Linked DNA regions of Rattus norvegicus. The protein of the gene in region 1 interacts with the protein of each later gene in a biochemical or structural test. Links are inferred from orthologs where the notes say so. Each region holds a gene or a part of one and is shown in the gene's direction. Other genes may lie near its edges. The genes, in order: Smurf1, Plekho1, Ube2d2, Pdlim7, Ube2d1, Ube2d3 and Rhob.

Region 1 (3,500 bases):
TGTAACATACTAATTTATTGAATTCCATTGTGATCCAAGTATAAAATGAAGACTTAGATACATCTAAAGCATAATTAAGTCTTCTCACTGTAGAGCCTCCCACCTGTGTGTTGTGTAGGGACTGCATTTACTCAGTAGTCACCAGATCTGGGGACCCACAGTGACCTCCGTGTGGGTGCAGGTGCATGTGTGCGCTCCCAGCCCCCATTCTCTTACACTCTTACCTGACAAAGGAAGCGAGCAGAGAATCACACAGGCAGCAGGGAGCACACTTCTGTTAGACCCACCAAGGAGGTCCCTGGTCCTTAAAGGGTGCTCGACAGAAGTACAGATGGGGAGCCTCGAGCCGGTTTGGTCTGACATATCTGTATCTTTTGTGTGTTTCCATCCCTTTCCTGTACAGATGGTTTTGGTCTGTGCTGCCCTCCTCAAACCTGCCTCCTTTCTGTTTGAAGAGTCGGGATCCACACTGAAATCTAAGCTGTGCTCTGGAGCTCAGTCTTTTGAAGGCGCTGTGGCCCAGTGTCTTCAAGACTGAGCCCACCCCGCAGCAGGGCCCCCAACCCCAGTTTGGTTTCCAGTGGAAGTGGTTATTGTGTTTGGCTGATTTTAGGTTTGTTTTTTCTTTTTTAAGATAAAGTGATTTAAACATTAAAGGAATTTAGAAACTTAGTTACCCAGTGCATACCTGCCAGACTTCTAAAACCTCTGTGATGTTTTTGCATTCATCTAAGTTTTCTTTATATTGCACAGTGTGAGTGGCCTGAGGCATTGGCTCTGTCTGGAAAGTGCTTGCTCTGAAAGCATGAGGACCCAAGTTCAAGCCTTAGAGCTGGGAGGTGAGGCAGGAGGATCCTTGGGGCTCGCTGGCCAGCCCGCCTCCAAAAATCAGCAGAGCGATTGAGGAAGACAGTGAGGCAACCTCTGCTCTTCATGCGCGCACACACACACACACACACACACACACACATACACACACAGTCACATACACAGTCTCACACAGTCACACAGAAAATGTAGAAAAGGAAAGTGTTCTGTGCTTAGGGTCTAAAGTCAGAATTCAACAGGAAATTAGAAGGGCATAGTTGTTCATAAATTCTCTATGTCTCCCTAGAGCTTGAAATGTTCACCTACCAAACTCTTATTATAGAATGCTTAGAAACTCCCAACTGGCAGTGGTGGCTCACACTTTTAATCCCAGCTCTTGGGGGACAGAGGGAGGCAGACCTCTGAGTTCAAGACCAGCCTGGTCTACAGAGGGAATTCCAATACACACTCAGGACTACACAGAGAATGCCTATTTTGAAAAATCAATCAATCAATTAATCAATCAATAAGCAAGCTGGAACTGGAATGGTGGTTGGCAGTTGAGAGCACTTCCTGCTCTTTCAAAGGACCTGACCTTGATTCCCCAGCATCCACAAGGCACTTCACAACCTCTTATAACTTCCGCTCCAGGCATCTGATGCCCTCTTCTGGCCTGCTTGGGTACTGCATGCACATGGCATTCATTCACACACATCTTTAAAGCAGTCAGAAAATGATGCCGTTAGCACATGTGAGCGTGTTATTATTGTTCCAGGGAGTGGCTGTATTTGTTGTGCCATGAAATGTTGAATCCGTATTATGGACTCTTCCAGTATTCCACGGACAATATTTACACACTGCAAATCAACCCAGATTCTTCTATCAACCCTGTGAGTATTACCATGAGGAGTTGAGAAATCCAGCTGTAGTTCTAAGGCAAACCTGGGTCCCCTAGTTATGGGTGACTTAGAGAAAATGCTGGGGAGAGCTCAGGGCAAAGGCGGGGAGTACTGACTGACTGGACCAGACTCTAGTCAGGTTTAGATCTGGAACCTGCAGGGGAGGACTGTGGGTCTGAGCTGCTCTGTGCCTGAGTCCTTTACCCTTTGAGGGGACTCTGGTATAGTGGGAGATGGTGGTCTTTTGGATGTCATCTTAAGAGCTAGGTTACCAAGTCAATTCGCTGATCAAAATTGGAAAAGTTTCATAATTAGCTCTCTTGGGCCACAGCTGTGAGCATTCCACATGCGGTAGGCACAGGGACACATCTAAGGGACCTCCTACACCCTGGAGGTCACAAGGCCACAGAGTTGAAATGAGGGACTATCTCTACTAGAGAATTAAAATACAAATGAACTGTGGTTGGGAAAGTGGTTCAGCCACACAAGCGTAAAGACTGACGTGAGACTGCGAATTCACTGCAGAATCCACATAGAAAGCCATATGTGACTGGGCACGGGGTTACATATTTTAATTCCAGCTCTCAGGAAGCAGAAGCAGGCCTAAGAGCTAACTCTGAGTTGGAGGCCAGCTGTAGTGAGATCAAGAATAGTTGGGGCTATGTAGAAAGACCCTGTTTTCAAACACCAAACAAACAACAAAAACACAGACGCCAGACATGGTTGTACATGCGCTGGGGAAGTGGACCTGGGTGACTCCTGGAGCGCACTGGCTGGCCAGCCTAATCTGTGAGATCCAGGTTCAGTGAAAGATCCTGGCAGCACTGGGCAGCAACTGGGGGATGAAGGTGATCTTCACATTCACCACACATGCACATCCACACAGTGAATAAACCTTTACCCAGCCTGGAAACTAAATCCTGACACGTTTTCAGAAACACACGAGCTATGAGTGCTTAAACTCCAGAGCCCCTCCAGCTGAGGAGGAAGAAGCACAGCCTTCCTAACTGTCGAGGGCTCCGCATGTTTACTTTGTACCAGGCCCCTGCACGCTAACTAAGTTCTCAGTGTTAGGCCAGGGCGTGTGTGCTGGTGCAGTTGTCATCCCAGTACTCTGAAGGCTGAGGCAGAAGGATTGTGAAGTACCAGTCCCACTTGTGTTAGGAGTGAGTGAAGCTGGAACTCAGTGGCAGCCTTCCTGTCTGGCCGTGGGTAGGTGAGGGATGGGCAGCTGAGTATATGTCCTGTTGGGTGTAGAGTCACAGGAAGCCTGTGGGAAGTGGGTATCCTCGCCTACTCGTCATCTTCCTAATGTCCGCCTGCCGTTCTCTGGCGCCCCCTATAGGACCATCTGTCTTACTTCCACTTTGTGGGTCGCATCATGGGTCTGGCTGTGTTCCATGGACACTACATAAACGGGGGCTTCACAGTTCCTTTCTACAAGCAGCTCCTGGGAAAACCCATCCAGCTGTCGGATCTGGAGTCAGTGGACCCAGAACTTCACAAGAGCTTGGTGTGGATTCTGTAAGTGTCACCATCCTTTCCCACAGCTCAGGATGCTGTTGGGTGTGCATTCTTTTGGGGGAACAGGTGTGAAACTAAAGAGAGTAACAGAATTAACTATAACAACATCCAACATTGGGTTGCAATTACAAATTAACAAAACATGTCATCATTTAATTGATTGTATTCTTTTCATAAGCTGGTTTGGCTTGTTATTAGGTTTGATTACAAATGCCAGTAACTTGCCTGGTTTCGTGGGGGTGGGGTGGATGGAGATCATGCACCCCTAAA
Region 2 (2,680 bases), on another chromosome or scaffold:
AGGGAGCCCTAGAAAGGGGAGAGCACTGGAGAGCCAAACCTTGCCAGACAAATGGCAGTAGATGAATTGTCCCTGCGCTCCCCCCACAGCGCATGTGCTCAAAAGGATGGGCAGATCGGCGACAGGCTGGTAGACGCCTCCCTTGGCAGACAGACAGGGACCTCCTTATACATGTTTGCGTGGTTTCAACTTTTTCCCGGGGAAACATGACCATCTCGTTCCTGGCATATTCCCAGCCAAGTAGAAAAGGGAGAGTAGCTGCTCAGGAAGTCTCCTATGACGTCCTACGTTAGAGAGAGCAGGTGGAAAGGAACACTCTGCTAACCGTATTCCCTAAGGCCAGAGGCAGCCCTTTGTCTCTTCCAGGTGTTGGCTGCCTTTCCCCTTCCCCTGGACTATTAGTGGTCACTCTTGTCTTCTTTACTTGGAAGGATCAGAGCAGCCCACTACTGTGCCCCTTTAAGGGCATGCCCCTTTAAGGACTTATAAGCTGTGTTGTCCTTCAGAGACCCAGAGTGAGAGCCACGGGTAGAGGGAGGCACTGGGGTGGTAGCTTGTGGGGAGTGGGTTAAACAGAACCCCATACAAGGACTCAGGTCTCAGTCCCATCCCCCAAGTACACAGCTTGGGTGGAATGGCTTTCTGCTCTGTTACCCTCCCCTTTCCCCGGGAGGAAAGGCAGAGTAATTTTATCCTTATGACACCCCAACCTCCCGTAGGTAAAAGATGAGAAAAATAGTCAAGAGGTGTTTGACCTGAGTGACTATGAGAAGTGCGAAGAGCTCCGGAAATCCAAGAGTAGGAGCAAGAAAAACCACAGCAAGTTCACACTGGCCCGATGCAGACAGCCGGGCACCACGGTAGGCTCTCCCTCACTGCAGTCAGTAGGCTCTCCCTCACTGCAGTCGGTAGGCTCTCCCTCACTGCAGCCGGTAGGCTCTCCCTCACTGCAGTCGGTAGGCTCTCCCTCACTGCAGCCAGTAGGCTCTCCCTCACTGCAGCCGGTAGGCTCTCCCTCACTGCAGTCGGTAGGCTCTCCCTCACTGCAGCCGGTAGGCTCTCCCTCACTGCAGTCGGTAGGCTCTCCCTCACTGCTGCAGTCGGCAGGCTCTCCCTCACTGCAGTCGGTAGGCTCTCCCTCACTGCAGTCGGTAGGCTCTCCCTCACTGCAGCCAGTAGGCTCTCCCTCACTGCAGTCGGCAGGCTCTCCCTCACTGCAGTTGGTAGGCTCTCCCTCACTGCAGTCGGTAGGCTCTCCCTCACTGTAGGCTCTCCCTCACTGCAGTCGGTAGGCTCTCCCTCACTGCTGCAGTCGGTAGGCTCTCCCTCACTGCAGTCCTGGCCACAGGGCCCACAATTATTCTCTCTCTGGCTTCTGTTATTTAACTGGAGAATATTCTGACCATTTCCTTTCCTCCAGGCAGGCTAGCCTATAACCTATTCAGCCATAGATTGATATCTCCCTCCCTCTCTCCCTCTCCCTCCCCTCCCCCACTTTGCACACACACACACACACACACACACACACACACACACACACACACACACTGTACATACGTATGAAACATTATTGGTGCTTCTTCCCTGATGTGTCTCTGAAGTTCAAGGGAAGCCAGGGAAGCCAAGCTTGCCACACCCTGTCCTCAGACATCTAAAGATCCTGACTACCTGAGCGCAGTCAGTCACACGTCCCAGTGTCATCATCGTAGCTCCCTTCCACCTTTCTAAAACAACCTGTGCATTTTGCTGGAACAGGCTTTGGGCTCCTTCAGTCACTGATGTTCCCAGAAGCAGAGTCTCCTTCCATGAGCGGGACCTGAGGGGATGAGAGGATTATTCCTTTTGGGGGGGAGGTTATAATTTATTTGTAAAACCCTAGCTAAAACAAGATGGTTCCCTTCACAGGCCCCCAACCTCATCTTCCTGGCAGTAAGTCCTGAGGAAAAGGAATCATGGATCAACGCCCTGAGTTCTGCCATTACTAGAGCTAAAAACCGCATCCTGGATGAGGTCAGGGGCTTGTTGTGGGAAAGGGGGTGGGTGCTAGGGTGGAAAGCAAGCTGTGACGGACGGACAGACGCACTAGTCGAGGGGGGTGCTTTGTGGGGCCCCTCTAGGTTCCCCCAGCTCTACTTTCTTGGCTTTTTCCCCCCTTTGGTTTCTTGAGTCAGGGTTTCTCTGTGTAGTCCTGGCTGTCCTGGAACTCCCTCTGTAGACCAGGCTGGCCTCGAACTCAGAGATTCACCTGCCTCTGCCTCCCAAGTGTTGGGATTATAGGAGTGTGCCACTATGCCCTGACTTTCTCAGCTTCTTTAAAGGCTCTGTTGTGTTGTCTCCCCACCCCGCTTTCTCTCTTAAGTCTTTTCTCTGCTGATTCGAACCCCACACACGCTTCACAATGCCTGATCTAGTCTGGGGTCAACTGTGTCCGTCAATCCGTCTACCCACATCCCTGCTCAGAAACAGTGGGCAGGATGGCCTGTTTCCCAGTCCAGGGAGACTCAGTTGGGACAGAGTCCTAAAGAAACCCTGGGACTCACAGTGCATCTCTTCAGGTCACCGTTGAGGAGGACAGCTATCTTGCCCACCCTACCCGAGACAGAGCAAAAATCCAACACTCCCGCCGTCCTCCAACCCGGGGACACCTCATGGCTGTGGTATGTACAACTGCACGAAAGTA
Region 3 (3,500 bases), on another chromosome or scaffold:
CTAAACTGTTCTTTTTTTTTTTTTTTTTTTTTTTTTTCCTTTTCTTTTTTTCGGAGCTGTGGACCGAACCCAGGGCCTTGTGCTTGCTAGGCAAGCGCTCTACCACTAAGCTAAATCCCCAACCCCTAAGCTAAATCCCCAACCCCTAAACTGTTCTTCTTTTTTTTTTTTTTTTTTGGTTCTTTTTTTTCGGAGCTGGGGATCGAACCCAGGGCCTTGCGCTTCCTAGGTAAGCGCTCTACCACTGAGCTAAATCCCCAGCCCCCTAAACTGTTCTTCTTTTTGGTTCTTTTTTTTTTTTTTTCCCCCGGAGCTGGGGACCGAACCCCGGGCCTTGCGCTTCCTAGGTAAGCGTTCTACCACTGAGCTAAATCCCCAGCCCCTAAACTGTTCTTCTTAATTTGAGTATGTAGACCCTTTCTGCCATATGCCAGTGTTACTTAAGTATATTTTATGCAGTTGTTTTAAGGAATGATTAAATCTTGGAGGTAGGCTGGTTTTGGTGGTGCATGTCTTTATCCCAGCACTCCGAAGGCAGATCTCTGTGGGTTTTGGGGAAGGGGGTTGTTTGGGATTTTTTTGTTTGTTTGTTTGTTTGTTTGCTTGTTTGTTTCATTTAGATTTATTTAATGTATATGAGGACTCTGTCAGCATGAAAGCCTACGGATCAGAAGAGAGTATCAGATCCCATCATTCGTGATTGTGAAATGCCGGGTAGTTGCTGAGAACTGTACTTGGGACCTCTGAAAGAACAGCTAGTGCTTTTAACTACTAAACTATCTGTCTAGCCCTGATCTCTGTGAGTTTAATGCCAGCCTGTACTATAGAGTGAGTTCCTGGACATAGAAAACCCCCGTCTCAGAAATAGAGAGAGACAGAGAAGAAAGTCAGTCAGTCAGTCTTGGAGGCAAATAAGTAAGTTTTAATAGTACCTAGGTAGGGCCTTTCTATGGGCTTTGTCAACAGATTTATCTTCCAGGCATGACTTTGAGATGAGTTTTTGTTGGTTAGTTAGGTTAATTTTGTGGCAGAATCACTGTGTAGCCATGGCTCGCCTGGAACTCACTATATAGACCAGGTTGGTCTCACACCCTTTACTTAGCCAAAGAGAAATTTAAATTTAGCATTGTGTACCTCAGCTTTGTCAACATTGTTGTAGGCATGCTATATCACCATGCTTAGTTCCAAAGACTTTATATTTACTTTATGTGTGTGTATGTGTACATGTACAAGACATATTTGGAAGCCAGAGAACAGCTTGGGAGCAGATTTTCTCTTGCTCTGGGAATCAAACATGTCAGGCTTGATAGCAAACCTTTTCTTACTGAGCCACCTTTCTGGCCTCAGAAAAATGCCCTGGATCTTTATAGTTTTGTTGGTGGTTTGGTGGTAATGATGTGTATAACATATGTTAACACACGAGTTCTTCTGTTTGGAGACCAGGAGAGGGCATTAGATCCTTTGGAGCTAGAATTACAGGTTGTTAGAAGCTACTCTGATTCAGAGTGTGCATACTTAACCAGCTGAGCCTCTCTCTAGCGCCTCCAAATATTTTAAAACCAACTGTCTGATTTTTTTGTTTGGTTTTGGTGGGGTTTGTTGTTGGGGTTTTGGGGATTTTTTTGTCTTTTGTTTTGTTTTTGTATTGGTGGTTGTTTGGGGGGGCTTTAGAGATAGGCTTTCTCTGTAACTAGAACTCAAACTCTGGCTGGACTCTAATTCAGAGATCTACCTGCCTCTGCTTCCAGCGGCTTTCAGATTAAAGGTAGGCACTGCCACACCCTGCTGACTTGTCTGTCTCTTATTTTTAATGGTTTAATCTTCATCCTGCCCATAGAAACTAGGTGTTATCATACTATTTATAAATAAACTATTTATAAATGAGCTTTGATTCGGTACTGGGAATGAGAGGTTCTACGGTGTAGGTGTAATGCAAATATTGTTAATTAATATGGTGACTTTTTCTTTCTTTCAGTGTTTCATTGGCAGGCTACAATAATGGGGCCAGTAAGTATTCACTTTAATTCCTTAATTAATAATTGTTTTATGTAATTTATTCATTTTTAATCTCACTCTCTTATCAACAGAATGACAGCCCCTATCAGGGTGGAGTATTTTTCTTGACTATTCATTTCCCAACAGATTACCCCTTCAAACCGCCTAAGGTAATTAGTATATGATCATTGCTCTTAAGATGCTCTGTATGGTACTGGTAAACCAATCACAAAGATTTCTTTTTCTTCAGGTTGCATTTACAACAAGAATTTATCATCCAAATATTAACAGTAATGGCAGCATTTGTCTTGATATTCTACGGTCACAGTGGTCTCCAGCACTAACTATTTCAAAAGGTAATGCAATAGTTGTTTGGTATCAAGGTGAAATAACTGATTTTTATGCAGGGTGTAGATGTGTACACCGTTGATACCAGCACTGGGGAGACAGAGACAGGCAGGTTTCTAAGTGCCAGGGCTGTGTAGTGAGACCCTGTCTCAAAGAGGAAAAAGTAACTGCTTTTTTTTTTTTTTTTAAAACAGGTCTCTGTTGGTCTATCTTGTTAAAATTATCTTTTTTTAAATTAATTATTTTTTGTATATTATATCTGCATGTATATCTTTGCTCTGTGTGTGTGTGTGTGTGTGTGTATGTGTGTGTGTGTGTTGCCCCCAGAGGCCAGAAGAGCGTGACCTGTTAATTGAATTATAGAGTTAGAGTGAGCTAGCATATGGGTACTGGGAAATGAGCAGCCATTGTTCTTAACTGCTTAACTTCTTTCCAGTCCTGGCTTTTTTTTTTTTTTTTTTAAATAACTCCTGTTTCCTTTTTAAAAGGACCAGTCTAGGGCTGGAGAGATGGCTCAGTGGTTAGGAGCACTGACTGCTCTTCCAGAGGTCCTGAGTTCAATTCCCAGCAACCACATGGTGGCTCACAACCATCTGTAATGGGATCTGGTCCCCTCTTCTGGTGTGTCTGAAAAGAGTGACACTGTACTTACATAGATTAAATAAATCTTTTTTTTTTTTTTTTTTTTTTTTTTTTGGTTCTTTTTTTCGGAGCTGGGGACCGAACCCAGGGCCTTGCGCTTCCTAGGCAAGCGCTCTACCACTGAGCTAAATCCCCAACCCCTAAACTGTTCTTCTTAATTTGAGTATGTAGACCCTTTCTGCCATATGCCAGTGTTACTTAAGTATATTTTATGCAGTTGTTTTAAGGAATGATTAAATCTTGGAGGTAGGCTGAAAAGAGTGACACTGTACTTACATAGATTAAATAAATCTAAAAAAAAAAAAAAAAGGCTGGGGATTTAGCTCAGTGGTAGAGCGCTTACCTAGGAAGCGCAAGGCCCTGGGTTCGGTCCCCAGCTCCGAAAAAAAAGAACCAAAAAAAAAAAAAAAAGGGACCAGTCTCCCTTAGTTTGTAATAGTATTTGTTGATACAATGGAAAACAGTTGAATTTTGGAGAATTGGTCCATAGTAAGATGCAGGTTGTTGATTGTGAT
Region 4 (4,029 bases), on another chromosome or scaffold:
GCTGAAGAAGGGTTTTTTTTTCCTTCCTTCAGTTTTTTGAGACAAGGCTTCATTATGTAGCCTCAGTTGCCCTCAAACTCGTTCTGTAGATCAGACTGGCCTTGAACTCAGATCCACCTGAAGAGGATTTCTCCAAAGGTGACAACTTCCATAGGCCAATGTGTACTCAGGACAATGACGGGGAAGAGGGTGGTGCAATGCCAGTTGGGGGCTGGGCAAGGGGAGACTGTGCACCTCACTACTCACTCAAACACTCAGGAGAGCTCAGCTTTTCCTTTCTGCCCACCCTTGGCTAAAGCTGAGGATAAAGGAGGGCCTCTGAGGGCTGGAGGGATCGCTCTGCGGTTAAGAGCACTGACTGCTCTTCCAGAGGTTCTGAGTTCAATTCCCAGCAACCACATGGTGGCTCACAACCATCTGTAATGGGATCTGATGCTCTCTTCTGGTGTGTCTGAAGACAGCTACAGTGTGTACTCTGGACTGGGTGTAAATAGGAAACCATTCCAACAGTGGTTCTGGGAGCTTGGGTGAAGTCTCAGGGCTGTGGGCTGCTGTCTGGATGAACTTACACTGTCAGGAAACAAGTGGAGCTAAGTCCGCCCCCGTTGGCTATGTATGTATGTATGTATGTATGTATGTATGTATGTATGTATGTACGTACGTATGTATATATATTCACTGAAGCCCCTGCAAGCCTTTAGTTGGGTTTGGGGTTGAGGACTGAACTTAGAGCCTCCAACGAGCTCTACCACTGAGCTACATTCCGAACGCCAGGAAACGTAACTTGAAACTACCCTGTCTCGCTTCTCCAGTTCCTGGAGAATCCGAAATCTGATGGTGCTGACCACATCGACCTCTAACAGTATCCCTAACAGAAGTGTTAATGATGCCACTTTCCCCTACAAGGAAGAGTAAGGTGAGAGAAGACCAATCAACTTGGGTGTTTCAAAGGGATGCTTTTCCTCCACTCCGCCCGTGGGAGGCGCAAGGGGCTCGGGCTAGAGCCTGGAGTAGGGCACAGGCTGGGCAGGGACGGGGCTGGCGAGGGTAAGTGCCTGACATCGCCTTCCCCCTCCTGGAGACTCAGGGCTTCTGGACTGGGTGGGGCCTCCCACCGACCCCGGTCTGTCCACTCGCTTGGCCTGGGGAGGGCGTGGTCTAGGACTCCGCCCCCTTCCGCGGGCTCAAAATGCGCGGCGTCCGCGGAGGCGGGGTCAGAGCGCAGCGGCGGATCCCAGCGCGGCTCCTGGAGGCCGCCAGGCAGCCGCCCAGCCGGGCATTCAGGTACCGGCGTCCGCGAGGGGGTTCCTGGGCTGCATCCTACGGGGTCCCATGGACTGCTGAGGCGCTGGGGAGGGTGTGGGCGGTCGTGGAGTGTGCCAGATTCACTCGGCTGGCTCGGGCCGCAGCCTCCGCCCCCGCCTTCCTGCGGCGAAGTGGGGCTGATTGGCGCCTGCGCCACTGTGTGCGGTGGGGACGCAGCCAAGCGCGCGGGGCTGGGGCGGGAGACGAAGGGAAACAGAGTCACGTTGGCAAGGGAACATCGTGCGTGGGTGGCACTACTTTCTCTGGTTTCCAGAAAGGATCCCCTCTCTAGCCATGCGTAAGGGACATGACCCCCGTCGCTCTCCACAGGGCCAGTACCCCAGTTTTTCTTTTCCCCTTGCAGAGCCCAGGGGTCCCGCCCTGGCCACCAGCAGCCCCGACCTGTCCCAAAATGGCTAGGACCTGCTCCAGCGTCCTCCTTCCCCACCCCTCCCCCTCATATCCCAAGCCCCTAAAGTGCTCCCTCCTCGGGCTCTCCACAGTGTCAGCTTACACGCCTTATATAGTCCGAGCAGGCTCCAGCGGCGGCCTGCCTGCCGGGACCCGGGGAAGGAGGGGGAGCTGGCCCCTGACTCACCCCGCCGCCCTCCTGAGATTCCAGGTTAGCTTGGGCAAAGCAGTGCCAATTAACCCTACAGCCAACCCCTGGAAGAGAAAAGAAATTGAGCTTGATGAGGACTCTTCTCACCCTCCCAGTGGCAGCGGGCAGGGTGGGGAACCAACTTGCCTGTTGTCTGCTAGAGGTCGGCCTGCCAGGAGCCCAGCCAAGCCAGACGAGATACCTGCCTCCCAGTGCCTGTGTGTGCTTAGCGTCCGCCCGTGCCTTCTTGGTACCTGGCCAACACTAGTGCCCAGATCTGGACCTGCCTGCCAATTTGCAGTGCAGACACTTTTCTCTTCTTTCCTCACAGGAGCAGGTACCATGGATTCCTTCAAGGTAGTGCTGGAGGGACCTGCCCCTTGGGGCTTCCGTCTGCAAGGGGGCAAGGACTTCAACGTGCCCCTCTCCATCTCTCGGGTGAGCCTTGGATGGGGGAACAAACTCCCTAAGGGTTCTTGGGTGCTCAGGTTTCGAGCAGATCATGGTGGGAAACCACAGGAGCAAGCTAGGACCAAAAGGACAGGAGTGCCCAGATCCAAACAGACACTACAGAGACTCCCAACAGGGTGCTCCCAGTTTCCCCACTTTGGCATGGTATTTGATGCTATTCCACCCGTGGCCGCCCACCTATGAGTGCCAAGGGGGAGATCCCTTCAGTACTGGAGACTGATGACTCCGAGAAGTGTCTTAGTTGGAAGAGCAGCGAGTGGAGCCAGGTCCCCAGCTGGATGTAACTTTAATTTCACTGCTATTCAAGGGATAGCAGTTGTCATGTTTCACCAAGTGATAGAATTTGGAGGTGTGGAGGAGCACGTTCAGCAGGTCCACAGCAGAGCAAGGGTTTGAACTGAGGCACAAAACGGACGGCTTGTACTCTCTGTATGTGTAAGGACAGGGAACTCTTGCCGCCACCCTGTTTGAGGGCTGAGTCTCAGTCAGCTGGTGTAGCGGGCTGTCGTGACCTTTGACCCTGAGCAGAGGTGTAGCAAGGCGGGCCTGTAGGATTCTCGGTCCCATTCCTCAGTCCACCCTGGTGGGGAGGGTGGAGCTGGGAGCTGACTCCTCCCTGTGGCAGGGGGGATTGCCTTATAAGCCCAAGAATGCAGCCCCAGCTGGGATGGCCAGTATTGGCTAGTCAAGAAAGCCCAAAAGGATTGGCCTAGGTCTAGGCCCCTCACCTGGCCCTCCGTCATTGGTGTCAGTAGGACTCAGAGCAAACTTTGTGCCCAGAGTGGGTGAAGCCAGCCTTCTAGCTTGGTATCTACAACTAGCCTGGGGGATGAAAAGGGGGGCAGGGACTTCCTGCCCTGACATCCGCTTGCCTAGAGAGGCCCACCCAGCCACAGTGTAGGCTGTTGGCAGGCAGCTGTTGCCCAGGGCAAGCCCAGCCCAAATGGGCCTGAGAATTTCCAGGCACTACTCAGCCTGAAAGGGGTATCAAGGCTGTTTCTCTCTGGGAGCCAGACATGGTGGTCAGGGCGGGCAGGCATGCATGCTGGCTGTGTTCTTCCCAGGATACTTCTCTGGAATTGCCTTGGAATCTGCTCCAACCAGCAGGATGACTAAGGGCTGTGGACCCTTCCCCCACACATTCAGCCTACATTTCCCCTCTGGGAAAGTGCTGGCCAGTGTGCTGTAGGTCTCAGTTTCTTCACTGGTCATGAAGGCCTTGCAGATGTTGCTGGTTTGGGGGTACTCTGGCCCCTGCTGGCCCCTGGGCTCCTTTGTCAGAGGCCTTAACATGTGGGTGGGGCCGCCCACTGAGCCCTGCCCTGGAGTGAGTTAGGCCCTGATGGGTGGGGTGGTCTTTTCTAAATTGGACCAGCCCGCTATCCCTCCCCTGACCCCAGAGTGGAGGGAGGAAGGAGGGGCTAGGGCTGGCTGAGGGCCCAGGCCTGGAAGATGAGGTAATGTCTGGGATTTGGGGGTTGGGCTGCTCAGTGGAGCTCCCAGGCTGACTCACCCACACCCATAATACTGTCCAGCCCCCTGGCTTTTCCCCTCCTTAATCTCACTAACCTCTCTTTTCCAAAATGGTCCTCCCCATGGTGCTCCTCTCTCCAACTCTGACGGACGGCTTACCCCTCACATGCTTCTGCCCT
Region 5 (3,500 bases), on another chromosome or scaffold:
TTTTTTTTTCTTTTTTTTTTCTTTTTTTTTCGGAGCTGGGGACCGAACCCAGGGCCTTGCGCTTTCTAGGCAAGCGCTCTACCACTGAGCTAAATCCCCAACCCCGAATCCAGTGTATTTCTCAATTGCTTTCCATGTTATTCTTGAGGTAGGGTCTGTCACTGAGCCTGGAACTTAACCAGTTCAACCAGGCTGGCTGGCCATTAAATCCTGAGGATCCTCCTGTCCCTCTCTCTCACCAGTGCTGGGAGTACAGGCTTGCCTCGCTGCATGCAAATTTGTACACGGGCGCTGGGTATTGAACTTGAGTCCTCCTGGTTGTGCCGCAAGCACTTTGCGGACTGAGCCATCTCTCTCTCCCAACCCACCTCCTCTCTTTGCACAGATCCTAGGCTCCTTCAAGTCATTCCTTAAGTACCCATGTTTCCAAGCTCTCACTTTCCCTCACTGGACTGTTGCTTCCTGGAAGACGGGCCTTGTTTGTTTGGGTCTGGAAACGAAACCTGGGGAGTTCATGCATGCGTTACTGTGCCAGCCGGGACCTGCTTGTTGGTATCATCTGCCTAGCAAAGACATATGTGAACTTGCATAAGGGTGTAGTAGGGATCTTAAAGGAAAACACTCTTGTTCTGCTTCGTCCTTTCAAAGGCCGGGGCTCTCTCATCAAGGAGTTTAACACAACTTCCTTCTTCTCCCCATAATGGCAGGGTCCATGATGAATAGAATCAGCCTAAAATAATTTAAAGAGAAGCTGCTAGTCTGTGTCTTTCTGGGTTCTTAGGGCCTGCTTCCCCAGAAAGGGAAGGATTAACTGCAAGTGTTTCTGCTCTCCCTCAGGAATTAAGTGATTTACAGCGTGATCCACCTGCCCACTGCTCCGCGGGACCCGTGGGAGATGACTGTAAGTTTATTCGATTGCTCGGTTTTGCTACCGTTGAAGGGATGGCTCTGAGTAACTGTAAGTGACTCCTGTTCCTCTGTATTGCAGTGTTCCATTGGCAAGCAACCATCATGGGGCCCGTAAGTACAACTCACTCGTGTGGATTGACCCCCCCCCCCCGTGCCTCTTCTGCACTCTTGGCTTTTGACCCGTAAGGAGATGTCCCTGACTCAGGATGAATATTCTCGTCCTCTGAAATCACCCAGGAAGCAAAACATGATCGAGGGTTTGAAGTGATTTTTCTAAAGCACGGCTGGCCAATGCCTCCTGGGTTACCTGTGCTAAAACCTCCTCGTTCCATAGCAAGGTTTCCATAGCTCTCTGTGCAAGCAGTCTGTGTGTTGGCCTTATTAATTCTTAACACAGCATCAGTTGTTTTTAAAAGAGGTGGGGTCTTCCTCACACACCCACGGTTTTCAGAGGTTTGAAATAAGTGTGACCCAGGAGTGGAATTGCTACATCTGGCAAGCATCAGTTTGCAGTAGGTCTCCTTACGACTCTTGACTTGAAGTGGAGGAGTCCTGCTGGGTGGTGTCTCGGTCACCTCTTGAGTTTGCTGCTTGGCCTTAAACGGCAGACGACTGTCTTATCACTGGTTATCTGTATTTCTCTCCCCACCCGAGAAGCAGCACTGGCAAATGAAACGGGCTTTCCCTTTCTACGAACAAAATACCGACAGTGAAAGAGCAGGCGCTCGGTGAGAAGACGCTAGCAATGTTCTTCCTGAATGGCCTTACAAACGTCCTCTGGGATGCTTTATGACTCAGCCATTGCTTTTAAATCATTTGCCCTGTAATCCAAACCAGGGAAAAAAAGATGCTGAATTTCAAAGAGTCGTCCCTGGGGAATTATCCTAAATGACTAAATTAGTCTATTAAGTTAAGAGGAGAGAGAGAGCGGCGTATTTACCTAACAGTCGTCAGTAAGAACATAGTTCTTCCAGCTTTGTATTCATTATCCACATGAACCTTCAAAGCCCCATCATCCAGAGGTGCGCCTCCCAGTCAGAGCTGTGGCCTCCACGGTGTTTCTCAGGCGAATCATGTGTAGCAAGCAGCTGTAATGTTGTTTTGTGTGTCCCTCTTACTGCAACAGCCTAGACACGCTCCACCATCCTCTATAGTCACCCAACTGTCTGTGGGGACCTTGCTTGTCTTTGTGATCTGTTTACATTTTTTTTAGCGTTTAATGAACTAGAATTAAGCAACGTACTAAGGCTAATTAGACAATATAACCCTGTAATCTTCATGCAGAACTTCAAGCACTGAGAGAACGACAGACCTGTCTTTATTACCCATGATGCATTCCAGTAAATATGAAGGAATTAAAGTACAATTTGAGGGGGATTGGAGAGATAGCCCAGAGGTTAAGAACACTCACTGGCTGCTCTTCCAGAGGTCCTGAGTTCAATTCCCAGCAACCACATGGTGGCTCACAACCATTCATAATGGGATCTGATGCCCTCTTCTGTTGTGTATAGTCATAACATAAAATATATGTATATATGTACTCATATACATAAATTTAAAAAATAGGTTTTGGAATATATTTTGCTACTATTTTTGTTTTTTACCCTTAATCTTTCTCTTTCGTTTATGTATATTTCGTGTACATACAACATAGACACATATATACACATACATGTATACACACAAACACACACACATGTACACATATATACATTTACACATATATACACATGCACACATATAACACACACACACACACACACACACACACACCATTAAGCAGCTGACTGGGCCTTGCTAAAGTTGATTTTTTTTTTTCTTTTCTTTTTTTTGGAGCTGGGGACCGAACCCAGGGTTGCTAGGCAAACGCTCTACCACTGAGCTAAATCCCCAACCCCGCTAAAGTTGATTGTTAATTTGACATATCACAAATACTGAATTCATCCAGCTTGATTTTGGAGTTTGTATATCTTCTGCAATATAAAGTCCTAGCAAATGAATATTGAGGTAAATTGTACAGTTAACCCTCTTACTAAACTTTTTTCCTTTTGGTTATACCTGCGTGGACATTATAATCTAATATTTGGAAATTAAAAAAAGGTAAACGTTTAGTTGTTACCTTCTAAAAACAGCGATGACTGCTGAAGAGAGTCCTCCTTCCTCCCAGAAGTCCTCATGCGTACACTGGTACCCACAAATCTGTCTGGTTAAATCACACTGCTGTGCGCATGCGCGTCTGCGCCTCTTTAAACTCGGTGGGAACCCTGGGTAACTTCATACCTGGGAAGGAGTCTGCTCTCCATGTAAATTCCTTCAGCCCATGCTGCAAGGATCGTTTTGTTTTGTTTTGTTTTGTTTTGTTTTGTTTTGTTTTGTTTTGTTTTGTTTTGTTTTTATACACGCTAATTCTGAGGGTCCTTGGCACGGTTAACGCCCTGGGGATGGTTCAGAGGGTTGAGTATGTGCCTTAGCCAGACTCTGATGTGCTTTCTCTGTGTAATTTCAGCCCGACAGCGCCTATCAAGGTGGAGTCTTCTTCCTCACTGTCCACTTTCCGACAGACTATCCCTTTAAACCACCAAAGGTATTTA
Region 6 (4,056 bases), on another chromosome or scaffold:
TCTCGCGATAACTTGCGGATTTGGGGGCGGGCCCCAAGCCAGGAAGAGAGCACAAAACTGCCCTTAAGTCATTGCAGACCCGGAGCTCCGGTGAGCCTGCCACGAGGTTCTCGCGAGATCCGCCGCCTCCATCCCAAGTGAGGAAACGGGGGGCCACAGTAGGGAGGGGCGTGGGGCCTCAACCGCGCAGCTGCCGCTTCCATTACCTTCCTCCTAAGGTCTCCTTCCGGTTCTCGATGCTTCTCTGAGTCTAAGGGTTTCCGCCACTCGTCTACCCTCCCCCTCAGCCCATGACCCGCCTCCGTCCCCCGCCCTCCCGGTCCGACCTCCGATCGGTTTAGTAAGAAGGTGCTGTTCGGACAGGGAGACGGCAAGAGGGTGGCGCGTCCACTCGGCCTGGACGAGGGAGGCAAACCGCTCCCCTTCAACCCTCAGCTCGCCCTGCGCTCGCGACGGCGGCGTTGGCGGACGGATACGCGGCGGTGAATAGGCGGGGGGAGAGGGGGAGGGGCGGAGCGTGGCAGCTGGCAGTAGTTCCGTCAGAGCGGACATCTTGTGGCTGTGCCGTGCGCGTGAGCCCCGTAGGGCCGGGGAGGCACCAGCTGCCGCGCGGGGAGGAGGCCGAGGCCGCAGCTCGAGGGAGGCCCCGGCCCTCTGTACGCGTGGGTGTGGACAGCTCGGGAAAGGGGAGGGAGACGGGCCGGGGCCGGCGCGGCGCCCCGGGCTGTGGGCGGCCCGAGTGGGCAGCCCTCGGGGCTGGGTGGGGTAGGATGGGAAGGCCGGCGGAGCCCGGGCCCGGCTGAAGGGGGAGGGGGCATGGGCGCGTCCTCGCGCCGGAGCTCCGCGGCCGCCGGGCGCGTGGAGAGGTGGCTGGGCGCGCGCACGCAGGAGCGCGCCGTGAGGCGGAGAGTACGGTGGTGTCAGGGGCGACCCAGAACAGCTCTAGCTGTGGGGACAACAGCACACGCGAGTCTAATTGCCTTCTGCTGGCTCGCCGACCCTCGAAGCAGAAACCGAAAGAAGCCCGGCGTCGGTCCGGAGCCTCCCGCTCCCCTCCCCCTTGCCTTTCTTTGCCCTAGTGACGCCGGCCTAGCGCCGACTAGGCCCGGGCTCCTCCTCTGCCGGGCTCTGGACCCTGCCCCGCACCCACCCCTTTCTCCTCCGCCTCTTCCTCTCCCACCCGGGGCTCTTCCTTTCAAGAGGCCGGGAAGTTAAACTTGTAACCACCTCTCGGCTCTTCCCGTCACCCTCGCCCTCTCTGGGCGAAGCGCGGATATAAGTAGCTGGTGGCTCTGCCACCCCACCCTGCCCGGATCGCGACGGTTTTCAGGGTTCTGGAATCAGCAGGGTTCCTCTGAGGCCTTGGCGAGTGGCTGATCTGCTCCGTTTTTGCAAAAGGCGCCTGTGTCTGGCAGAGCCGGTGTGAGAAGAAGAGAGAATCCTTCCCCGCCGCCGGGATAATCAAGAGTTTTGGCCGGACCTTTGAGTACACATCGGGATAGTGAGAAGCCCGGCGAAAAGCACAGACTATGGCGCTGAAACGGATTAATAAGGTAAGTTGTTGGGACTAAATGTTGCGGATGGGGTCGCGGGAAGAAAGGCTTGGTGCCCAGAGAAAAGCCTGGAGAGTTGGATTCTGAAAATACCTTACATGGGGTAAGAGAAGGCAGGGGCACTTTGAAATGAGCTGTAAGATAGGGAACGGAATGGTTTTGGCAAGCGAAATGTTTGTTTCACTAGAATCTGCTAGTATGGGTGAGGGAGCGTGGCATTTATTTAGTCTCCTCAGTTTTTTGCCTAAGAGTCAGGTTTGGGGAGTAGAATTATGTACAGGCCTCGGCAGATGCCATGGCACTGCTTCCTATTCTAGGTTCTTCAAAACATTTTAGCTATTAAGGCTATAGGCATTCTAAAGAAAGGAATGTAACAGTTGAAAGACGTTTTGTTCCAAACTTGACTGAGAGTCGGGGTATGACAAACATACCTCAGTTTGCTAAAATGCGGTGACGAAGTCTGTTCAGAAGCTTAACCAAATCTGGGCAGTTACACAAGAGTATGTGGGGTTGGGAGGAGGTGGACCGACACTGTTGCCACTTCCTGTGTTGTGTGGTCGCTGCTTTCACCCAAAGCTATGTATCTGAGGCACCAGGAACCTATATGTAAAAGCCTTCTGAAAGATTCCGGGGTTGGGGGTGTTTGACAGTGCAGGGAAACTGGATGGAGGACTGCTTTGCTTAGAACCCCCTTCCTTAAGGAGGCTTGTTTGAGCAATTCACTAGAATTTGATAAGTCGTTGCTTTAATTTGGAAAGAGCTACGATTTTTCCAGAAATACAGTGTAAGTGGAGCCACTTCTCTGGTGGTTTTTGTCTCGTTTTCTTGCTCTAACTTCTATCCCGCATTTTAAGATGGCGGCTGCTTTAACTGGCTCAGGCTCTTCCCGGCATCTCCTTTTCTAACTATAAGATAATGGTCTCTGTTAAGCGTTAGTTTTTTTAATCCGGTTGTAGGGAGCTCTCAGAGCCTCTGCTCCCAAGACTAAACCTAAATTCAAACTCTCAGACTAAGTTTCTGTGTGTGTGTGTGTGTGTGTGTGTGTGTGTGTGTGTGTGTGTGTGTGTATTTTGTATTTGGTTCTTTCACAATCGAGAGGGTGGAGTATTTACAGCCAACTTGAAAAAAAATGTGGAGTAAACTCAGTCCTAATAGAAAAGACAAAATGGGAAGGTTCGGTATTAGAAACTTTGACTTAGCACAGTTTTTAAAGAGTTCTGTGGAAAGGCGAGGACTTGGATTGACTATAGGTCTAATACTACTGTATTTGTAGTTATTTTATATTATATATATATATGTGTGCGTGTGTGTATATATATATATATATACATATATATATCTTGATCAGCTTGATTGGAAAAAGCTGTAGTTTCTGAAAAGTTAATTCTTACCTGAATATATTGTTGTTGAATCTTGAATTCTTAGGACATCCTGGTAATCTTTGTGGTTTTATGCAAAACACTTAACTGAACTGTTTGTATTCTTGATGATAATGGAAAGAGAAAGAAAACCTTAGAATTCAAGACTTCAAATAGATAATAGATAACATTAAAATTACCACTTAGTGTGACAATTTTGAGGGTGAACCTCACATTAGAGATGCATTATTGTGCTTTATAGCATAATTAATACAGAAACTATATCATTCAGTGTTAATCAAATTTCAGATCCATAGTGTAAAACGAACATTTTAAAGGGAGGTCTTACTGATTTTTTTTCTTTTTACAGGTGATACTCAGCTGTTTTGGCAACATTTTAATGACTTAAAAGCTCTAGCGAGGCAGTAATGGTTAAGTGTAAACATTTGTAGTAAAAAACATGAGATAGAATCAGACTCTAAGCAAGTTTATCAATTTGCCTAATCTGTACTAGGAATTTTTCTAGCTACTGGGATGGCAAGAGAAAACATATTTTTGCAAGTTTAAAGAATTATGTATGGATATTAAGAGGTAAATTTTTTATATTCGAAAACTGTTTATATGCCAAATGGCTGATGCTTCTACCTGTAGGGTATTCCAGCATATCATGGTTTTTCCTTCAGATACTGTCAGAACCATGAAGCAACTTAAAAAATGGCACCCAGATGCAGGAATAGTTTGTGAAAGTACAGAAGGAGGATCCTTTTCTTCTTAAGGCAGTATTGTCATGAGGTTTTTTTGTATTGTTCCCTGTTTAGAATTTATTCTTCTGGTTCCCCCTAAACAAGTGTTAACAAGCCATTACTATTTTTATTAAAATGCAACTGAGCTTTAGTGATAAATGGGTATAAGTTGATACTTTTATCTTTTTTTTTCTTTTGTGTGTTTGCTTGACTGTTTCTTAGCTCACCAAACAACCATACGTGTATTCTTTTGCTGTGTTTGTAATTATTTGGACTAAATTGTAGTATGGTGCTGTTATTAAATGGGTATTTTAGCAGCTGAATTCCAAATCTGTGTTTTTGGAACTTTAAGAAAATTTACTGCTACAAAGCAGAATGACTGTTACATAATTGGGGGACTTT
Region 7 (4,001 bases), on another chromosome or scaffold:
TTTTCTTAGCTGGTACCCTTAGCCTAGTCCTCCATGAGGGACCCCAAGCAGCTATATTAAGCCATTTTCTTTCCTCTTTTTTCCCTTTGTTCAGTTTCTCTTTTCGGGGGAAGACCCTCCGTAACTCCCTTTGCTGCTTTCTGCCTTTTCCATTTCTTACAATGGACTGACTTAAATCCTTTAAGATAGGAGGAGGTGTCATCTCCTGCAGGATGGGCTAATTCACCAATTAAGACCTGGTGTATGCCAAGAAACTTTATTCTCTACGTAGTAACCATGTGCCCGCCTGCAAGTCCCCTGTGAGGCTGACTGCATGCCTATTTCCCCAGCTTTAAGCCTTTCTCCTCGATGAGAGTTGTTGGAGTGGATGGGTTTTCTTGCACAGTGTACTTCAAGCAGTTCTCTGGCTTTAGGACTGGAATCAGATGTAATGTCGTAGAACTGGGTGAAGGTTGCCTAAAATGGATGGTTTCTTTTTCAGCGGAATGCCCTCTGTACCTCTCTTTCCTTTGTCCTACAGCTGTGCCTTTTCTAGATTCTCATCTTCTTCACCCGGAGACCTAAGTGCGGGCCTTGAAGAGAAAAGCCTAGAGAGGACTCACCCAGGCCCACACAATTTACTGTGGGCTTCTCTCTGTGCAAAGGCTGCCTCTGAGAAAGTACCAGAGTTCGGCCCAGAGCAGAAGAGGGTTTAGTCACCTAAAGAAAGTAAGAAAGAATGAAACCCTTGGGGTAGGTAACCAAAAAAAAAAACAAAAAACAAAAAACCGAGCATGGGTGTCTGTTTAAGTGAAAACATGATCTCCTTAAAGGCGCTGCCCCTCCCCCCATGTTTGATCGGGAGTTCGATCCGAAGCTAGATAAATATGAAGCTGTGGGAGCAGCCAACGCCCCACAAAAGTGTAGCTCGTCTCGGAACTGCCCGCCCAGACCCGGAGGGCTCCAGGCTGCCTGATCCACAGTGTCGCGCTCAGAGAGGCTGCTACGAAGGCGGAGACCCGGCTGCTACACAACCCTACCCGGCGGTCGCTGCGCAGACTCCACAGTAACCGCCTCTCCCAGCCCGGCGGACAGGGCTGTCAATCAAGCTGACGGGAACCCGCCTTCGGACTGCAGCCGTCGGCCAATCGGAGCTAAGCTCCGCAGCGATGAGCTCAGCCCTGTGGCTTCCCATTGGGTGGCTATATTAAGAAAGTGGCCGGACTCTTTAAATAGCGGGCGCTAGGGCCGCAGCCCGCATCTGCCACCGCAGTCCGCTTGTCGTCGTCTGCGCCCCTGTACCCTAGGTCTGGAGAAGAACCCGCCCCGGGAAAGAAGCTAGGCCGGGTCCGCAAAATCAGCCATCGACTCGCACAAAGCAGCGCGACTCCGGGACAGCCGAGAACACTACCCGGCAGCAGCGCGGCGACACTCCGTGCATCGTATGCCCCTGCGCCCCTGCCGCGGCAGCCGGAGCGCCCCGAGAGAACGCTCCACCGCGGGGTCCAGGTGCAGTTAGCGTGCCTAGCCCGCATCGCGCGGTCGCGGGAGAGCGGGAAGCGGCAAGCAGGGAGCGGGACGGCGGCGAGGCGCTCGCGGGCCCCTCCTGCTGCCCGCGCCCGGCGAGCTCATGGCGGCCATCCGCAAGAAGCTGGTGGTGGTGGGCGACGGCGCGTGCGGCAAGACGTGCCTGCTGATCGTGTTCAGTAAGGACGAGTTCCCCGAAGTGTACGTGCCCACCGTGTTCGAGAACTATGTGGCGGACATCGAGGTGGACGGCAAGCAGGTGGAGCTGGCGCTGTGGGACACGGCGGGCCAGGAGGACTACGATCGTTTACGGCCGCTCTCCTACCCGGACACCGACGTCATCCTTATGTGCTTCTCGGTAGACAGCCCGGACTCTCTCGAGAACATCCCCGAGAAGTGGGTGCCCGAGGTAAAGCACTTCTGCCCCAATGTGCCCATCATCTTGGTGGCCAACAAAAAAGACCTGCGCAGCGATGAGCATGTCCGCACGGAGCTGGCCCGCATGAAGCAGGAGCCAGTGCGCACGGATGACGGCCGCGCCATGGCGGTGCGCATCCAAGCCTATGACTACCTCGAGTGCTCGGCCAAGACCAAGGAGGGCGTGCGCGAGGTTTTCGAGACGGCCACGCGCGCCGCGCTGCAGAAGCGCTACGGATCCCAGAATGGCTGCATCAACTGCTGCAAGGTGCTATGAAGGCCGCGCCCTGCCTCACGCCCTTGCCAGCGTGGCTCCCCCTCCTTGGCCCGGTCGCCCACTAACCGGGAGAAAGGGAGACCCGTGCCCCCGAGGACACCACCAGACTGCCTGACATCTGCTGGTGGCTCTGGCTGGTCACGCTGAATATTAGCGTGGGCACCGAGCTCCCCCCTTCCCAGTGTCTGTGTGTGTCCAGCTGTGTGGCACAGGCCTGGGCGCCCTGCTGAGTGCCAAGGGGTTCCTGAGCGTCCTTTTCTAAAGAGCCAGGCCTCGAAGTGTGGTTGTGTGTGTGTACGACTCCCTACACCCCTACCCCACTCCTGCCCCACCCCCGCCTCTGGTTTCCCCAGGGGCATGCAGAGTGGTTGAGCCCCAGCAGATGTTCGCTTGTAACCAGCAAGCCACTACTGTTGCTCCATGTCTGTAACATAGACCCCCTGGAATCACGGGAGGGGAGGGCTGGGGAGGATGGGGATGTTACATAAATACAGATTTTATTTTCGGAGGCAGAATGGTATTGTTTAGTGGTGAGTGGTGTGACCAGGGCCCATGAGCAACTCTTCCCAGGCTGGGTCAGGAGCCCACCCATCCAAGCATGAACTGGACTCGGCCATCTTTCCACACCCTGGGAAGACATTTGCAACTGACTTGAGGTTGAGAGGAAGCAGCTCCCAGACACAGTGTCTCCTGGGCCAAGCCCCAGCGAACCTCCTTTCCAGCCACCTGCAGAGGATCCAGGGTGTGCTGTGGGGTCACTTTTGCCATAAGCGAACTTTGTGCCTGTCCTACAAGTGAACATTGTTCAGTCGAGAGACTATTGTTGCTGAATTTATTTAAAGGCTGAAGCTTTTTTTGTTGTTGATGAAAGAATTCTTTGCACAATTGTCCCATTGTTTGACACCCAGTGCACTTGTCATTTGCATAAGGCAGCATTTTGACCACACTTGTATGCTGTAACCTCATCTACTTCTGATGTTTTTTTTTTAAAACAAACTATGATGACTTTAAGGAGATTACAAAAAAGATTCTAATTTTTGCTTTGTTTTCTTGAAAAAAATGTCAACCATGTGACTTTTTAAAAATTTGTGTAGCATACACACAGTTTTGGTAAAGGAAGGCAACACGTATTGGGGTCTATTTAAACCTCCCTCCCTCTCCCCACAAGACAAGTCTCTTCATCTATGTGAAATTTTCTGTACATTCTCTGTGCAGAGCAAAGCTTCCTCTTCCTTATTCCCTCCTTTCCCAGCCCAGTGGTACTTCTACTAAATTGTCTTGTTTTGTTTTTGTTTTATTTTTTTTTAAATAAACTGACAGATGACAAAGTGGTGAGCTTATGATGTTTACATAAAAGTTCTATAAGCTGTGTATACAGTTTTTTATGTAAAATATTAAAAGACTATGATGATGACATTTATAAACGGCTCCTGTGGCTTAATAGTGTCATAGAAAACGTCTGAAGTGGGGGGTAAGGGAAGAGACCCTTTCTGGAAGTAACTGCTTCTATATGGTAAATATGGTCAATGAACCTAGCACCTTTTAGGGGTTGGGTGACCCCAAGAGGCCAGGTTATTCCTGTCCGATTCCCTGAGGCGGATAAGCTTGTCAACCAGACACCCAGAGTGTACTGATTATTGTGCATTTAGTCCTATTACATGAGGCCAAAGATCTTGGTTTGACTTCATCTGTAGGTCTTTTAAAAAGTATCTGAGGTTTATTCTGGGGTGCTGCTTGTCTCACTTTGACAACAAGAACATTAAACCTAGATGACTTTTTTTTAAAATGTTTTTAGGGGTGG

The links.
Region 2: the proteins of Smurf1 (region 1) and Plekho1 form a complex in vitro, tested with the Homo sapiens proteins (4 studies listed by BioGRID and IntAct). The link is inferred for Rattus norvegicus from reciprocal best matches to the Homo sapiens genes SMURF1 and PLEKHO1.
Region 3: the proteins of Smurf1 (region 1) and Ube2d2 form a complex in vitro, tested with the Homo sapiens proteins (3 studies listed by BioGRID). The link is inferred for Rattus norvegicus from reciprocal best matches to the Homo sapiens genes SMURF1 and UBE2D2.
Region 4: the proteins of Smurf1 (region 1) and Pdlim7 are reported together in a solved structure, tested with the Homo sapiens proteins (2 studies listed by BioGRID, with this or other methods). The link is inferred for Rattus norvegicus from reciprocal best matches to the Homo sapiens genes SMURF1 and PDLIM7.
Region 5: the proteins of Smurf1 (region 1) and Ube2d1 form a complex in vitro, tested with the Homo sapiens proteins (3 studies listed by BioGRID, with this or other methods). The link is inferred for Rattus norvegicus from reciprocal best matches to the Homo sapiens genes SMURF1 and UBE2D1.
Region 6: the proteins of Smurf1 (region 1) and Ube2d3 form a complex in vitro, tested with the Homo sapiens proteins (15 studies listed by BioGRID, with this or other methods). The link is inferred for Rattus norvegicus from reciprocal best matches to the Homo sapiens genes SMURF1 and UBE2D3.
Region 7: the proteins of Smurf1 (region 1) and Rhob form a complex in vitro, tested with the Homo sapiens proteins (2 studies listed by BioGRID and IntAct, with this or other methods). The link is inferred for Rattus norvegicus from reciprocal best matches to the Homo sapiens genes SMURF1 and RHOB.

What each region holds. Positions count from the first base shown.
Region 1 is NC_086030.1:14,829,043-14,832,542, forward strand, and holds part of Smurf1 (E3 ubiquitin-protein ligase SMURF1), read left to right. Parts: intron 1-1,582; coding exon 1,583-1,697; intron 1,698-3,051; coding exon 3,052-3,230; intron 3,231-3,500. UniProt on the Homo sapiens protein: E3 ubiquitin-protein ligase that acts as a negative regulator of BMP signaling pathway. Mediates ubiquitination and degradation of SMAD1 and SMAD5, 2 receptor-regulated SMADs specific for the BMP pathway.
Region 2 is NC_086020.1:186,235,615-186,238,294, reverse strand, and holds part of Plekho1 (pleckstrin homology domain-containing family O member 1), read left to right. Parts: intron 1-719; coding exon 720-860; intron 861-1,905; coding exon 1,906-2,010; intron 2,011-2,555; coding exon 2,556-2,657; intron 2,658-2,680. UniProt on the Homo sapiens protein: Plays a role in the regulation of the actin cytoskeleton through its interactions with actin capping protein (CP).
Region 3 is NC_086036.1:27,669,399-27,672,898, forward strand, and holds part of Ube2d2 (ubiquitin-conjugating enzyme E2 D2), read left to right. Parts: intron 1-1,975; coding exon 1,976-2,007; intron 2,008-2,087; coding exon 2,088-2,165; intron 2,166-2,245; coding exon 2,246-2,351; intron 2,352-3,500.
Region 4 is NC_086035.1:9,128,579-9,132,607, forward strand, and holds the start of Pdlim7 (PDZ and LIM domain protein 7), read left to right. Parts: upstream 1-1,229; 5' UTR 1,230-1,284; intron 1,285-1,800; exon of another isoform or gene 1,801-1,927; intron 1,928-2,237; 5' UTR 2,238-2,248; coding exon 2,249-2,344; intron 2,345-4,029. UniProt on the Homo sapiens protein: May function as a scaffold on which the coordinated assembly of proteins can occur. May play a role as an adapter that, via its PDZ domain, localizes LIM-binding proteins to actin filaments of both skeletal muscle and nonmuscle tissues.
Region 5 is NC_086038.1:17,332,459-17,335,958, forward strand, and holds part of Ube2d1 (ubiquitin-conjugating enzyme E2 D1), read left to right. Parts: intron 1-27; exon of another isoform or gene 28-108; intron 109-837; coding exon 838-901; intron 902-988; coding exon 989-1,020; intron 1,021-3,415; coding exon 3,416-3,493; intron 3,494-3,500.
Region 6 is NC_086020.1:226,541,938-226,545,993, forward strand, and holds the start of Ube2d3 (ubiquitin-conjugating enzyme E2 D3), read left to right. Parts: upstream 1-1,256; 5' UTR 1,257-1,529; coding exon 1,530-1,553; intron 1,554-4,056. UniProt on the Homo sapiens protein: Accepts ubiquitin from the E1 complex and catalyzes its covalent attachment to other proteins. In vitro catalyzes 'Lys-11'-, as well as 'Lys-48'-linked polyubiquitination.
Region 7 is NC_086024.1:37,082,530-37,086,530, reverse strand, and holds Rhob (rho-related GTP-binding protein RhoB), read left to right. Parts: upstream 1-1,326; 5' UTR 1,327-1,609; coding exon 1,610-2,200; 3' UTR 2,201-3,501; downstream 3,502-4,001. UniProt on the Homo sapiens protein: Mediates apoptosis in neoplastically transformed cells after DNA damage. Not essential for development but affects cell adhesion and growth factor signaling in transformed cells. Plays a negative role in tumorigenesis as deletion causes tumor formation.